Arabidopsis thaliana: one gene and its partner. The protein of the gene in region 2 interacts with the protein of the main gene of each other region in a pairwise test. Each region holds a gene or a part of one and is shown on either strand. Other genes may lie near its edges.

Evidence for each region.
Region 1: the proteins of SRF2 (region 2) and AT1G68070 interact in a protein complementation assay, tested with the Arabidopsis thaliana proteins (one large-scale study listed by BioGRID).

Annotation. Positions count from the first base shown.
Region 1 is NC_003070.9:25,514,015-25,519,228, forward strand, and holds AT1G68070 (Zinc finger, C3HC4 type (RING finger) family protein), read right to left. Parts: upstream 3,048-5,214; 5' UTR 2,754-3,047; coding exon 2,293-2,753; intron 2,208-2,292; coding exon 2,091-2,207; intron 2,014-2,090; coding exon 1,881-2,013; intron 1,802-1,880; coding exon 1,643-1,801; intron 1,560-1,642; coding exon 1,398-1,559; 3' UTR 1,218-1,397; downstream 1-1,217. Other genes in the region: MAP70-1 (microtubule-associated proteins 70-1), read right to left, coding at 1-212; AT1G68080 (2-oxoglutarate (2OG) and Fe(II)-dependent oxygenase superfamily protein), read left to right, coding at 3,516-3,578, 3,646-3,772, 3,867-3,942, 4,021-4,093, 4,187-4,282, 4,354-4,758, 4,897-5,214.
Region 2 is NC_003076.8:2,110,351-2,117,576, reverse strand, and holds SRF2 (STRUBBELIG-receptor family 2), read right to left. Parts: upstream 4,862-7,226; 5' UTR 4,584-4,861; coding exon 4,490-4,583; intron 4,218-4,489; coding exon 4,085-4,217; intron 4,008-4,084; coding exon 3,936-4,007; intron 3,836-3,935; coding exon 3,770-3,835; intron 3,686-3,769; coding exon 3,614-3,685; intron 3,516-3,613; coding exon 3,447-3,515; intron 3,360-3,446; coding exon 3,288-3,359; intron 3,197-3,287; coding exon 3,131-3,196; intron 3,053-3,130; coding exon 2,987-3,052; intron 2,904-2,986; coding exon 2,569-2,903; intron 2,485-2,568; coding exon 2,216-2,484; intron 2,131-2,215; coding exon 1,865-2,130; intron 1,765-1,864; coding exon 1,617-1,764; intron 1,542-1,616; coding exon 1,402-1,541; intron 1,318-1,401; coding exon 1,161-1,317; intron 1,097-1,160; coding exon 914-1,096; 3' UTR 823-913; downstream 1-822. Other genes in the region: AT5G06830 (uncharacterized protein), read left to right, coding at 24-232, 314-446, 564-695; AT5G06811 (transcription termination factor family protein), read right to left, coding at 5,321-7,063.

The DNA.
Region 1 (5,214 bases), on a different chromosome or scaffold from region 2:
TCAACTTTCACTGGATCCGAACCATGAAGCAAAGTAATAAACTCATTATCAGCAGCTGCATCAAAACTAGGCCTAACCGGTCTCCTCCTCCCAGAACTTTTCTCCTTATAGGACGCCGACACCGTCAATGACGGATACGGCGTCGGAATCGCAACAGGCGTTGTAGCTTGCTCCGCCGACAAAAAACCACCGTCAGCCGAAACGTCAGACATCTCCGACTACTCCGATCTAAATTCCTTCCGATTCAACAACACATCAAAATTCCTCAGGATCTATACACACTCAGATGCAAACAAAAAAGTAGCTTCAAAATGCAGATTTCTAGAGAGGATCCAAATGCTTTTCTCTGGGATTTCAAATCAGAGTCTCAACAACATATCTAGAGAGAAAGAGATAGTTTCAGAGAGATCGTTCGTTTTTTTTTTTTTTTTTGTAGTGATGGAAACAAGAGAGAGAGTGAGATTTAAATGCTGTCACAGTGTTGTTGTTTATCTTTCTTTCTCTAGTCGTCTTCTCTAATAGCAAGTGTGACAAGACAAGAAGAGGGAAAAAAAACAAAGATTAGATTAGGTTGTTAATTAATCAACGTTCACTTGATCAAGCACTTAAGTATGAAATATAGAGGTTAGTAATTATAATATAGTAAATGGCAATATTGTATGTATATAATTTAGGTGGATGGTTAATTATTTTGGTTAGTGATGTGATTAGCGTAGAAAAGATGTGATTAGTCAAAGAGATGCTTTGCGCGTGAGAGGAGGGAACGTGTAATATGTCTTTTTTTTTTTTTTTTTTTGTTGTTGTTAACTAAATACGTGTACACTAATCTAATCACTGTAATCTGTTGAGATCTCTTTGTTTTTCTTTTTGAGGGACAATCAATTATGTATGTTTTCTCTTTTAACAAATTTGATTGATTCTCTACTAATAAAAGTCCTTTTAAATTGTTATGAGAAACAAAAAAAATCTATTTAAATTGAATGTAAATCAATATAATGTTTCGTTTTTTGAATATCACTGCCATTTGCGACCGAAGTTTTATAGATTAACTTGTTGTATTACCTTTAGCTCTTGGTCTTGATTTGTTTTAGATATATCTTTTGGGTTTATGTTGGTCTTGATTTGTTTTAGATATATCTTTGGGGTTTATGTTTGTTTACATGAACAACAAACATAATGTCACAAATGAGGATTATTTTTGTCTTACGCGATTAGCTACATGATGAATATATCTATTATTATTTGATAAAAAAAAAAGAGAATTGACAACAAATTTCAACAAAGAAACAAACTGTCTTATGACTTACAAACAACACAATCATTTTCTTTTTTCTCTACTCTATATACAACAAAAAGAAACACAACATAAAAAGAAGAAAAGTTTCCTCTACATTACTTCATTCTTGTTCATTACCTTTGAGGATATTGAACTTGCATAGTGGACATGTCGCATTCATTTTCAGCCATTTCACAATGCACGTAGAATGAAAGTGGTGGTTGCAAGGAAGTGAGACCAGCTCTGCTCCATCTTCATATGAACTCAAACATATACAACAGTCCTACACATACCAACCCAATTCAAAAGAAAGCTCTAAGCTTCATATAAAACATCCACAAGATAACTTTCAAAACAAAAACTTACAGCATCCTCGGGAAGAAGCACACGCTCGTTTCCTAAATTCTCACTCGCTGCATCCACAGGTATCATTTTCCCACCACCGTCACTTTGCTTTTCATCATTGTTCATCGTGTGAAACCTGTACTTGGGAAGGATGCTGAGATCTGCTTCTGATGCACCCTCCTAAACACACACACACACATATCAAAAGGCAGTTTATTGCTTTCATTTCTTCCAAAAGGGTTACTGTTATAGTCCATACCTGCCCCGCGACGGCGTAAAGAAGAGCAATAATACAAGGTAGGCAACAACAGAGGGCGATTCCAATAAGACATGCCAGCACAACGCAAAAGATGGCAAAGAACACATCAAATGCAAGGAAAACAAAGGTTAACCTGCAAACATTAATAAACATAATGATGTCATTACCATTCAACTAGAAGAAATAAACATTGAGCAAACCAACACATACCAATACAAATGCGTCGCGTTTTGCAGAAGGATATCACCACCAGAAACAAGCCAGTAGAATCCAACAATCCACCAGACAAATGATATTATAGTGTTCATTGATTCACAAGTCTTAGTGCTGAAAATAATTGATTCTCATAAATCATTAGTAAATCATTTGGCTAAAGAACAAAACAGCACAGATAATTGAATCGAGAGCTAACCTCAGAAACCTCTCATCGTTGTCTTCATCTTCACTATCCTGATTCGTAGCTTGAGCAGCTTCTAAATCTCCAGGTCTGCTTCTAGCATTCCTCTTTCTAAACTCAAGCCAAACAAGGACAACATGAACAAGACACTGAATCGCATAACCACAGATCCAAATCCTAATAGGAACATTTGGCTTCTCTTCTTTAAAAACCAAAAGCATAACAATCGCAACAAGAACAAAAGCAGTGTTCCAAAGCATATCCAAAGCAACAACAGGTTTCGAGTAACCCCAATCAGCTCGTCGCTCTTCAAGCTCTTGTGCAGCTGTTTCTCTAACCACCATCGAAGCTCCTCGTCGTCCTGAAGCTCGATTTAATAGAACCGCGATTACAGGTTGACGACGTGGTGATGATTGCCGTGAACGGAGAAGTGGTGTGGATGAGTCGGAACCGGAAGGTGATTCAGGTGAAGACATCGTTGAATCCGTCTTTGCTTGATACAGAATTGAGAGAGATGAAGATAAATCTAGGGTTTGTTGTGTTTCTTGTACCTATCAGTACCACTCAAAAGTCAAAATAGAGACAAGAGAAAGTACTTTAATAAGTGTATCGGTGATTCATAATTGTCTTAATTCTTAATTTGCTCTTTAAACAATATGTGTTAAGAGTTAGAGATTAGAGGATTACAGACGTTTTAGTAGTCAACAATTAGACTGGTGGTTAGGAAATTGAGATTTTTAACACTTGTCTTCTCGGTTATGTTTAAGAGCAAATGTGGTGGTGATAATGTTGAACTAGAAATATGTAAATAATGAACAAAAATCGATGGTTGGTAGAGGATTTCATGATAGCAAAAGTTGAACAACATTAGAAGTTTAGTAAGAACTTAAATTCGATTGTAGTGGTAAGCACTTAGTATAATCTCATTTTACCTCAGTTTGATACTTTGATTAGTTATTTTCAAAAGTTTTTGTAACATTTGTCTTCTAAAATTCCGGTTTAAGTTAATTGGAACTTACCGACTTAACATTTCTTACATAATAATTTTTTTTTAACATCATATAATTAATTATTCTAATGAACAAAAGAAAAAAAAGATTAACAAACTAATTTCAGTTTAATTCCAAAAGCGGTGGTACACCGAAATAGACAAGACAAGTAAGAACAGGATTAACTGAAACCCTAAACAACCACAATCGATCTGGGTTCATTGGATTCATTACACAAACCGGAGAGACATGTCGGAGAAAGAGCACCCTCGGCTAATTCTACACAATTTCCTGTCGCCGGCAGAATGCAAGGTTGTCCCTTTTTTGCTTAATTTTGTGTCTAATCATGTGGGTTTGGTTAATTTTGAGGTAAAAACAGGAACTTGAGCTTATACACAAGAGTAGCAGTACAATTGGGTACAGACCAAATGTCTTCTCCACTACTCTCTCTCACCTCATTGCCACTAATTCTCCTCACCTCATCATCCCTTTTGTCTCCATTAGAGGTCAATCTTTTAAAACTCAAAGATTTCGCTTTTGTCTTTATATCTTACTTTTGTGAGATTCAAAGGGATGATCTTTGTTGTGTTGAGTTAACAGAGAGGTTGAAAGAGAAGATAGAGGAAACATTTGGGTGTGAGTATGAGCTTTTTATTGAATTCACAGGTTTGATTAGGTTAGTCTCTCTCCCCTGTCTCTTTAACAAAACAAGTCAGGAAAAAAGAGTAAATATTGATTCTTTGTTTTGAATCAGTTGGTGCAAAGGAGCTAGCATTGGTTGGCATAGTGATGATAACAGATCATATCTAAAACAAAGAGATTTTGCGGTTCGTATTCACTCTCATTTTTGTAATCTATAGACGTCCTTGTTGATATTGTGGTTTATGTGTGTATGACTTTGGTTTTTAGTTGGTTTGAAGGCAGTTTGTTACTTGAATAGTTACGAGAAAGATTTCATAGGCGGTCTTTTTCGTTTTCAGAGTGGTGAACCAGTAACCGTTGCTCCATCGGCTGGTGTAAGTATTGTTCTTTTTCAGTTGGCTTAGTGGTTACTTAGATTGAATAATGAGTTTGTGTTCTTGAGCAGGATGTTATCATGTACACAGCTGATGACCGGAATATTCACTCAGTTGATGAGGTAACAGATGGAGAAAGATTGACTCTTGCACTCTGGTTTAGCCGGGACTCATCACATGACGAAGATTCCAAGCTTCTTTCTCGTCTTTCACAATGTACATCACATGAAGTGTGCCTCCCTTTGCCTGCATCCACTAACATGTACTGGTTCTGTCCTCATCAAGATGGTTCTAATCAAAACATAGGTTTTGATGTTTGCGTTGCGAGGTTGCATCTTCTTGGTTTTGATGTACATAGCTTACAAGGCGAAGATCATTCTACGGATGCCTCTGAACAACTTATGGGACCACTACAATTAGCTAAAGGAGGAAAGTTACTCACCCGAAAATTTGCCAACATTCTTCATGCTCTTCAGGTACTTTTCTCTTTGACATTCACATGAGTTTCTTCGAGGTCGTTAGTGATTAGTTGATATAGTAAATGTCTTGTTAAACGGGCTTCCTTTCATCATATATAATCAAATGCTTATTTCTTCTCTTTTGCTGGATAATAGGTTGTTCAGTTCTACCATTGGAAAGCTTCTGAACTCGTAACTTCTAATGTCGAAAATGACACATTAGAAGAGGTGAAAGCTATGTCCCACTCTCAGTTGGAAACTATCAATGCCCTGAAATCAGTTTTCCTGCTAGATGAGAACCTCGTAGCCACAACTTTTGGATATTCGTGCTCTGGTGAGGATCGAAAGGATTCACTCGACTTGACGGGTATAGCTCTCGCGGTTACCTCTTGGGAAGAGTATAGCTGTAAGTTACTCAAGGAGCTATTATCATCCTTGCCTCAATGGAAAACTTATCAAACTATACACAAAGTG
Region 2 (7,226 bases):
TGATGTCGTTTCTCTTGTGTCAGGTCAAGGCATTTTTGAACCAGCGTTTGATAGAACTGAGAAATGAAGATACGCTGTCCTTGCAACACCACGTGCAAGCAGTCTCCCCCATGGTTCTTCAGCAGTATTCTCCTGAAACCATAGAGCCAATGGTGGTTGACATCTCCATGGCCATTTCATTGCTAACAAACAAGAAATCTCGGGATCTGATCATGATCCTCAACTCCAAAAGGTGCGTTAGGATAAAGAATCTCTGCCAGGGGATCACAGTGAGTACCACAGCTTCTGATATATGTATTTGTTTGTCGAACAGATTCCTAGATAGGCTTGTTTCAGAGCTGGAGGAGAAGAAGCACCGTGAAGTGAAGTTAAGAGAGAGCTTGAAAGATGTGGGTAGAAGACGCATGGAGCTGCAGAATTCACTTTCTGCTATATGGCCAAAACAGGTAACCTCATGTTCTTAAAAAGCTTGTTTTGGCTAAACTGTGGATTATCAGAAATTTGGAATTGGAAGGGGCTATTATCTAACAAATTCTGTTTATTGATTTTGGTATTGAATACAGGAAGCTGCACTTTCGAAAACAAGAGAACTCAAGGAGCTATGTGAGACAAGTCTCTCTTCCATGTTTGATGGAAGACCTGTGAATATAAGAGGAGAGATCAATACATTGTTGAACGCTGGGGTTTCTGCTTAGTTTGATCTTTGGGATTTGCTAGAAAACTTAGTTTCAGTACACCAAGTGACCCTGTTTCTTGCTTTAGGATTTTGCCTTGTTTCAAACTCTTTTGTATTTCTATTATATACCAAGAAACTTCCTTTTTACCAAGACTAATACGTGTATATCATCATATGCTAAGAACTATTCTTTTCACAGTAAAGTATATGTGCATGAAGTAGAGATACAGAAAATGTTCAAGAGGAGAGGTAGCTGAAGGTAGGTGAGGAGATGAAGCGTGTGCGTGTTGAGCAGAAAGATTTACTAAAAGGGTCGGTCTTGTCTGCTACACTACTGCTTGCTTCCTTGTTCTGTTTCTGTATCAGCGCAGTGAGGGCTTCCACTATTTCTGAAACCGGTGGTCTGAACTCCTTCTCTGCCTGCTTATGAAAGAATGGTTAGTTAATGTAATGATCCTGAGTGAAGAAACTCTAATGACAATACCTGAGTGCATAGGGAGATAATGTCTGCGTATTGTGAGGCGACTCTTGAGGAGAATGTGCCGGCTATGCCTCCATCAATCATCTGTTCTAAGCTTCGCCTGTCATGAAGTCTGGTTGATGCCCATTTCACCAGTAGCTGTTCTCCTCGGGGTCGTGAGCTGCAAAACATCCATCAGAAAAGGGTCATGATTAGCTTAGCTTAGGCATCAATGATTATATTATTATGTGAAACGCTTGTGTACCTGTCAAATGCTTTCCTTCCTGTTAACAGTTCTAAGAGTAGCACTCCCAGTGCATAAGTGTCACTCTTTGTGCCACTGCTTCCTGGTTGTCCATGTTCTGGTGCTATGTAGCCAGTGTTTTGTATCGCTATTTCTGAAGCCTGCTCTAAATCACAACTCATTAGGTCTCTCTGAGTCAAAGAATTAGGTGACACATCAGATGCTGTCTTACTTACCCGAAGTTTAACACTGTTGCTTGTAAGTGGCCTTAAACTAGCAAGCCCACAGTCAGCAATACGAGGTGTAAGTTCTTCGTCTAGTAAGATGTTTGTTGCTTTCAGATCGCTATGGGCTATAGGAGGGCAAAACGACGAGTGCAAATAGCTGAAAGTTTTTGATTCACCAGATAGGGAAGAGTCAAAATAAATAACTGCAAGGGTAGGGAATAGCTACTACCACTAGTTTGAGAAGATAGAATACTTACTCCAGAGCTCGGGCAACTCCAATAGCAATGCGGAGACGCAAGCCCCAAGAAAGTGGCTTGTATACCTCATCATGCATAGCATTGTACAACGACAAATGGCCAACATACTCATAGACAAGAAGATGCTCTCCATTCTCAATGCAGAAACCGAGAAGTGTAACAATGTTTGGGTGTCTTAGTTTGGAGGCTGTCTGAAGCACTTCAGTAAACTGTTCCTCTTCATGTAAAGATAGCGAAGACATTGGGATGTTTCTGACGACGGCAAACTGTTTTAACAAAACATCAATGGATGAGACACAAATAATAAAATTCCCAATTTTGAATGTTTGAAGAGAGAGAAGAGAGATATACCTGACCATCAGGCAACTTTGCTCTGTAAACAGAACCAAGAGGACCCTCTCCGAGTAGATTTTCCTCACTGAAACAGTTAGTTGCCAGTTGAAGCTCTGCAGCTGAGAAAAGCTTAGCGAACGATGGATATTGACATGTTGCAGAGAAGCTCTTTCTTCTTGCAGATTTATCGATTCTGACAGGTGGAGAAGGTAAATGTCTGAGTTGGGGAGCTGGTGGTGGCTGGAACCTTTTAATCTGTGGGTTATCTTCAGTTGCAACAGGATATTCTGTTACATGTGAAGGTAAAAAGTCAGCACCAGGGAATCAGAATGGCCATTGTAAAAATGAGGGGAGAGACAAGCATATATCACCTCGGCCTGTACTGACTGGAAGAGAGTATGCTATGCTATTGTTGCTTCTGTGAATAGCAGCAAGGTTTTGTGCACGTCGATGATTCATGCGAACTGCGAAAAGTGCAAAGAAAGTTCCCAGCAAAGCTAACCCACCAACCAGTAAAAAGGTACTTCCTGCTCCTATGCCTTTCTTCTTCTTTTTGACCTTCTGAGTCTCAGGTCTGGGAAAATTCATAATGGCACTTGACTCTGTTGTTGGATAGCCAGTATCATTTTGTATCAGTGGTCTGACGTCCAATGGGAACTTCCACGGTTTATAGTTGGGCTCTACATGGAACTTGTTTCCCCAAATCCTGCTCAGGAAAACACCAATGATTTTCATGAGTCATAGGTGTGTCTGAGCCAATTTATGAGAAGGGGGGAATAATAAACTCACCACAGATGAGGAATGGACTGAAAATGACTTGGGATAATACCACTGAACTGGTTATCTTCGATGTTCCTGAAGACATATGTTTAGGTCATAAATAAAGGAAGTTCAATGAAATGGAAAATCAAAGCACAAAGAGAGTGAAACTACAGGTCAGCTAAAGGAAGATCCGCGAGATATATGACTGATCCTGTTAATCTGTTGTTCTGGAGGTACCTGCAGTTTTGTTATCACAGCATCAAAACTGTTATTAGGTTATACCAACGTGCACAAAGCAGATAGCAGATATAAGAAACCAGATACTTACAGTGAAGTCAGATTCATTAGAGTCCCAAAAGAGCTCGGTAGATCTCCCGTCAGGTTATTGAATGACAGATCCCTAGCAAAGTCAATATTTGAATATGAATGGGTATCTTGCACCTATATATGGTGATGAAAGACTAACAGAACTGAACAGAAGACTCACATTTCTTTAATCTGTAACCCAGAAAACACATTTCCAAGAGGTCCAGATAATGAATTATGGCTCAAATTTCTAGAAGACAGAGGAAGCCATTATTTAACAAATCAGTATAAAAGGAAAGCAATGTGATGAGATATTTCAAAGATATCCATTTGGAATAAGCCACTTACAAAGACTGAAGAGATGTCATAAGAGGTAAGGAAAAAGGGATACTTTGGGTCAGATTGTTGTAAGCCATGTTTCTGTAATCGGCAAACAACGAAAACACTCGTGAATTGCACTGGAATGTATGCTTAAAAGATGAATGCACTTGCTTAAACACTTACATATGAGTAGCGTTAGGAGGCAAGCCAAACGGAATTTCACCCTCAAGGTTATTGAAGCTTACATCCCTAAACAAAGTAAAGACCAATGCTTTGAATAAATATCAACAATACAATGACTCTGTCTCGCAATGAAGTTAACAATCAAGAACCAGAAAAGTTTGCTTACAGAATCTTCAAATTGTGGAGATGTTGAAGCTGGTTTCCAAGGCTGCCCAAAAGCTTTAACTCTCGCAGTTGTCTGCGATAGAATGAATCAGATTTTGCTCGAACCGGACAAAATAAAAACTGAGGAAAAGGGTTAAACAAGGAGATTACAGGTCTACTATAGAAGAACCAGAACAAGAAATTCCCAGCCAGGCTTCTCCGCATGGATCTCCACCCTCTAATCTCCATCCTCTCAGCTGTTCTGGATTTCTCAGAGACTTGTAGAGATCTTGAAGAGCCAAAACTAAACGGAGAAACACAAATAAACAACAATCACATATAGCCGAAGACTAAACAGTCATTTGGTGATGATCAAGTAACAGCGAAAGATCTAAAACTCGCGACTAAACCCATAGAAATTTCAAGTCAAGAAAGGGTTTCTGTGTTTTGGTGATGATCAAGTAACAGTTCGTTCCTAAGTAAGTAAAATTGAAACAGAGAACAACGACGAACAAGAATCTTAGCTAGGATTCACTCCTAGACTGAGAAAAATGAAACGAGAATCTGGAAATTTACCTTCAAGCGGATCAGTATCAGTCTTCGCCAGAACAAATAGAATCGTCGTGAGCAGAATTGTAGCGAGGAATCGCAATTGCTGTTTGGTTTTCATCACTATAATCTCTCTCGACTCTCAGTAATAATGGTGCTTTATGCAGAGAAAGTGATACGTTTAAGCTCCGACATCTAACGAAAGGAGAAAAGAAGAAAAGAATGGTGGAATTTTCTCGCACTTTCTCTCGCTTTCCGGGAAAACAAACAGAGAGGAAACTCGGAAGAGAGAACATCAAAGAAGGAGCTTTAGTTAGAGAGATGGTACTTAATAAAAAAGCCAAAGCGCGAATATTCCACGTCAGCAAAAACAGTTAAGGACGTTGGAGTCAACTAGTCAAACCTTCGTGCCACGTGGCTTTTCTTTTTCTTAAAGACTGTGATCATCGTTATTTGATTTTATTTGAGGCTTGATTATATGATAATGTTTGAATAACATTATAATCTCTCTTTATAGTGTTTTTATATACCTTAATCTTCTCAATGAGTTTCGTTATTCAGTTAGTTTTTGTTCAAGTTCATTCTCGAATTCTGCCACAGTTATATTATGAGTTCCTTTCATTGAAATTTGTTGAGATTAAACAAATTTGTTTATTTTTTCTCCAACTTTTAAAAAATTGAAATAGAACTTGTAAAACTTACATAGCAATCTGCTCCAGGAGATAACACAAAACTGCAGCTACTGCTTCAAAAAAATGTCTTCATCAGATACAAAATCGAATCTTTCCTTTGTGTTTGGGGCTCATTTGCATTGTTGTGGTCAATACTATATATATCCTGATGCATTCTTGATCTCTACTAACACACAAGTAGTTTCTTCAGGTCTTCCAAATGCTTAGGCCCATCGGGGTGACGGTTTACAAATCTAGTGGCAAAGAACTTGTCCGAGCACACAAGTATAGTACTAACTTGAAGCTTTGGGTCTGCTTTTCCTCGATCTTGAAGCCAAGAGAACATTGAAAATCGAAGCTTCATCCGCTGAAGAGTGTACTTAAGACATGTTGGGAAAGTCACCAATGTCGAAAGCGGATAACCTAATTCCTTTACAAGGTAGTTCACCTTTGATTCTAAGATATCACATGCCTGGGTGAGGATACTAGGACATGCTTTCACCATATCTTTGACATCTTTCTCAGTAAGACCGAAACTCACGAGGACATTAAATCTCTCTCGGAGTTCAGATCCTTTGCCACGGAAATTCTTGAGTGCTCTCTCCATTTCCTCAGAGTTTTCTTTGTATCCGAGGTCTAACAAGAACTGAGTCTTCATTGTTTTCGACTTTGTGTTTACCTTGTATCCAGTAGCTGGTAATGGCTGGACTCTTAACCCCATAATCCATTTTTTCATCTCTTCTGGATTTTCTTGAATGACTTGACATAGCCGCCCTTTCCCACCCTTCAAATTGATAAGTAAGGTACTGGTTTGCTTCAAACGAGATACACCAATCCACAAAGAGTGCAAACGGAAAATCTTACCGATCTCGTCATCATCCATCTCAATATCTTTCAGAAACAAGAAGCAATGCCTTAAATTCAAAACAAATTTACCTAAACTCTGACACTGAGGGAATTTCTGAAACAACGAAGAGAGTTCACTTCTGGATGACCCTAGTTTTGCTTCAAACCCAGCTAGAATCAATGTCCATTCCCCTGAATCCTCGAAAATAAGTCTTGGCATCTTTCTGATTAACTCACATAGCTCATTTTCATCAACATACAAATCTCTAAGAAAACTTAGACATCTATGCATAGAGCTCCAATCATAAGACACCTCCTCTGACAAGTTCTCTGTTACCCAATCAACACCAAAACCAATAGCTTTCAGCATCTCCATGACCTTAGCCAGTCCAACATTCATATCCCCAATCAAGATACTTGGGCTACAAACTATAAGTTTCGATAGAAACAATTTGCTAAACCCCAAATCCTCATAAGACTTAATCTTGGAAGCTAAAACCCCGGTTTCATACCCGAAAACTTCCCTAGCTTCCTTAAAGATCTTCCCCATCTTCTCCCTTCCAATTCCATAGTTCCAAAAGACATGATAGTTCTCCAGCAAAAAAGCATCTTCATTCAAAAACATCTTATCACAAGGAATCAAATGACTAAACTCTGACGGCTTCAAACCTAAACTCTCTAAAAAGGGCTCAAATTCATTAACAGGATGAAACCATAGAAACCTAGTAATAGCTTTAACTATATCATCATCATCATCAACATCAACATCACAACCATTAAGCTTCTTCAAAAGATTATCATTAAAAACAGGAGCATTCTTACTCATACTCTCAGCAACCAGAAACTGCAAACCTCTCGTTTGATAAAAGTAATCAAACATCGCAACTTGAGCCACTTTACGAATCTCGTTTCGAGTTCTAAGACCCCATTTCTCGCCGGAAACTTCAGCATCGACGAGTGCTCTTTGGGTGGCGAAAAATCTAGGGTTTCTAGAAAGTTGGGGTTTTAAAGGGGTTTCTGCAAAAGCTTGTGATACCCAATTGAGAAGAAGACTTTTGAATCTAGGGTTTCGCATAAAAGACATTACCTGTTACGCAGACATATGGAAGATATGCAGAAGATTTGTCTACACAAAGCAAGAAGTATGTTTCAATGTGAAGAAGACGAAACTAGTTGACCAAAAAAAAAAAAGTGAATAAAATAATTTTAAAGTAAAAAAATACATAAATATTCATTTGTTCATATAA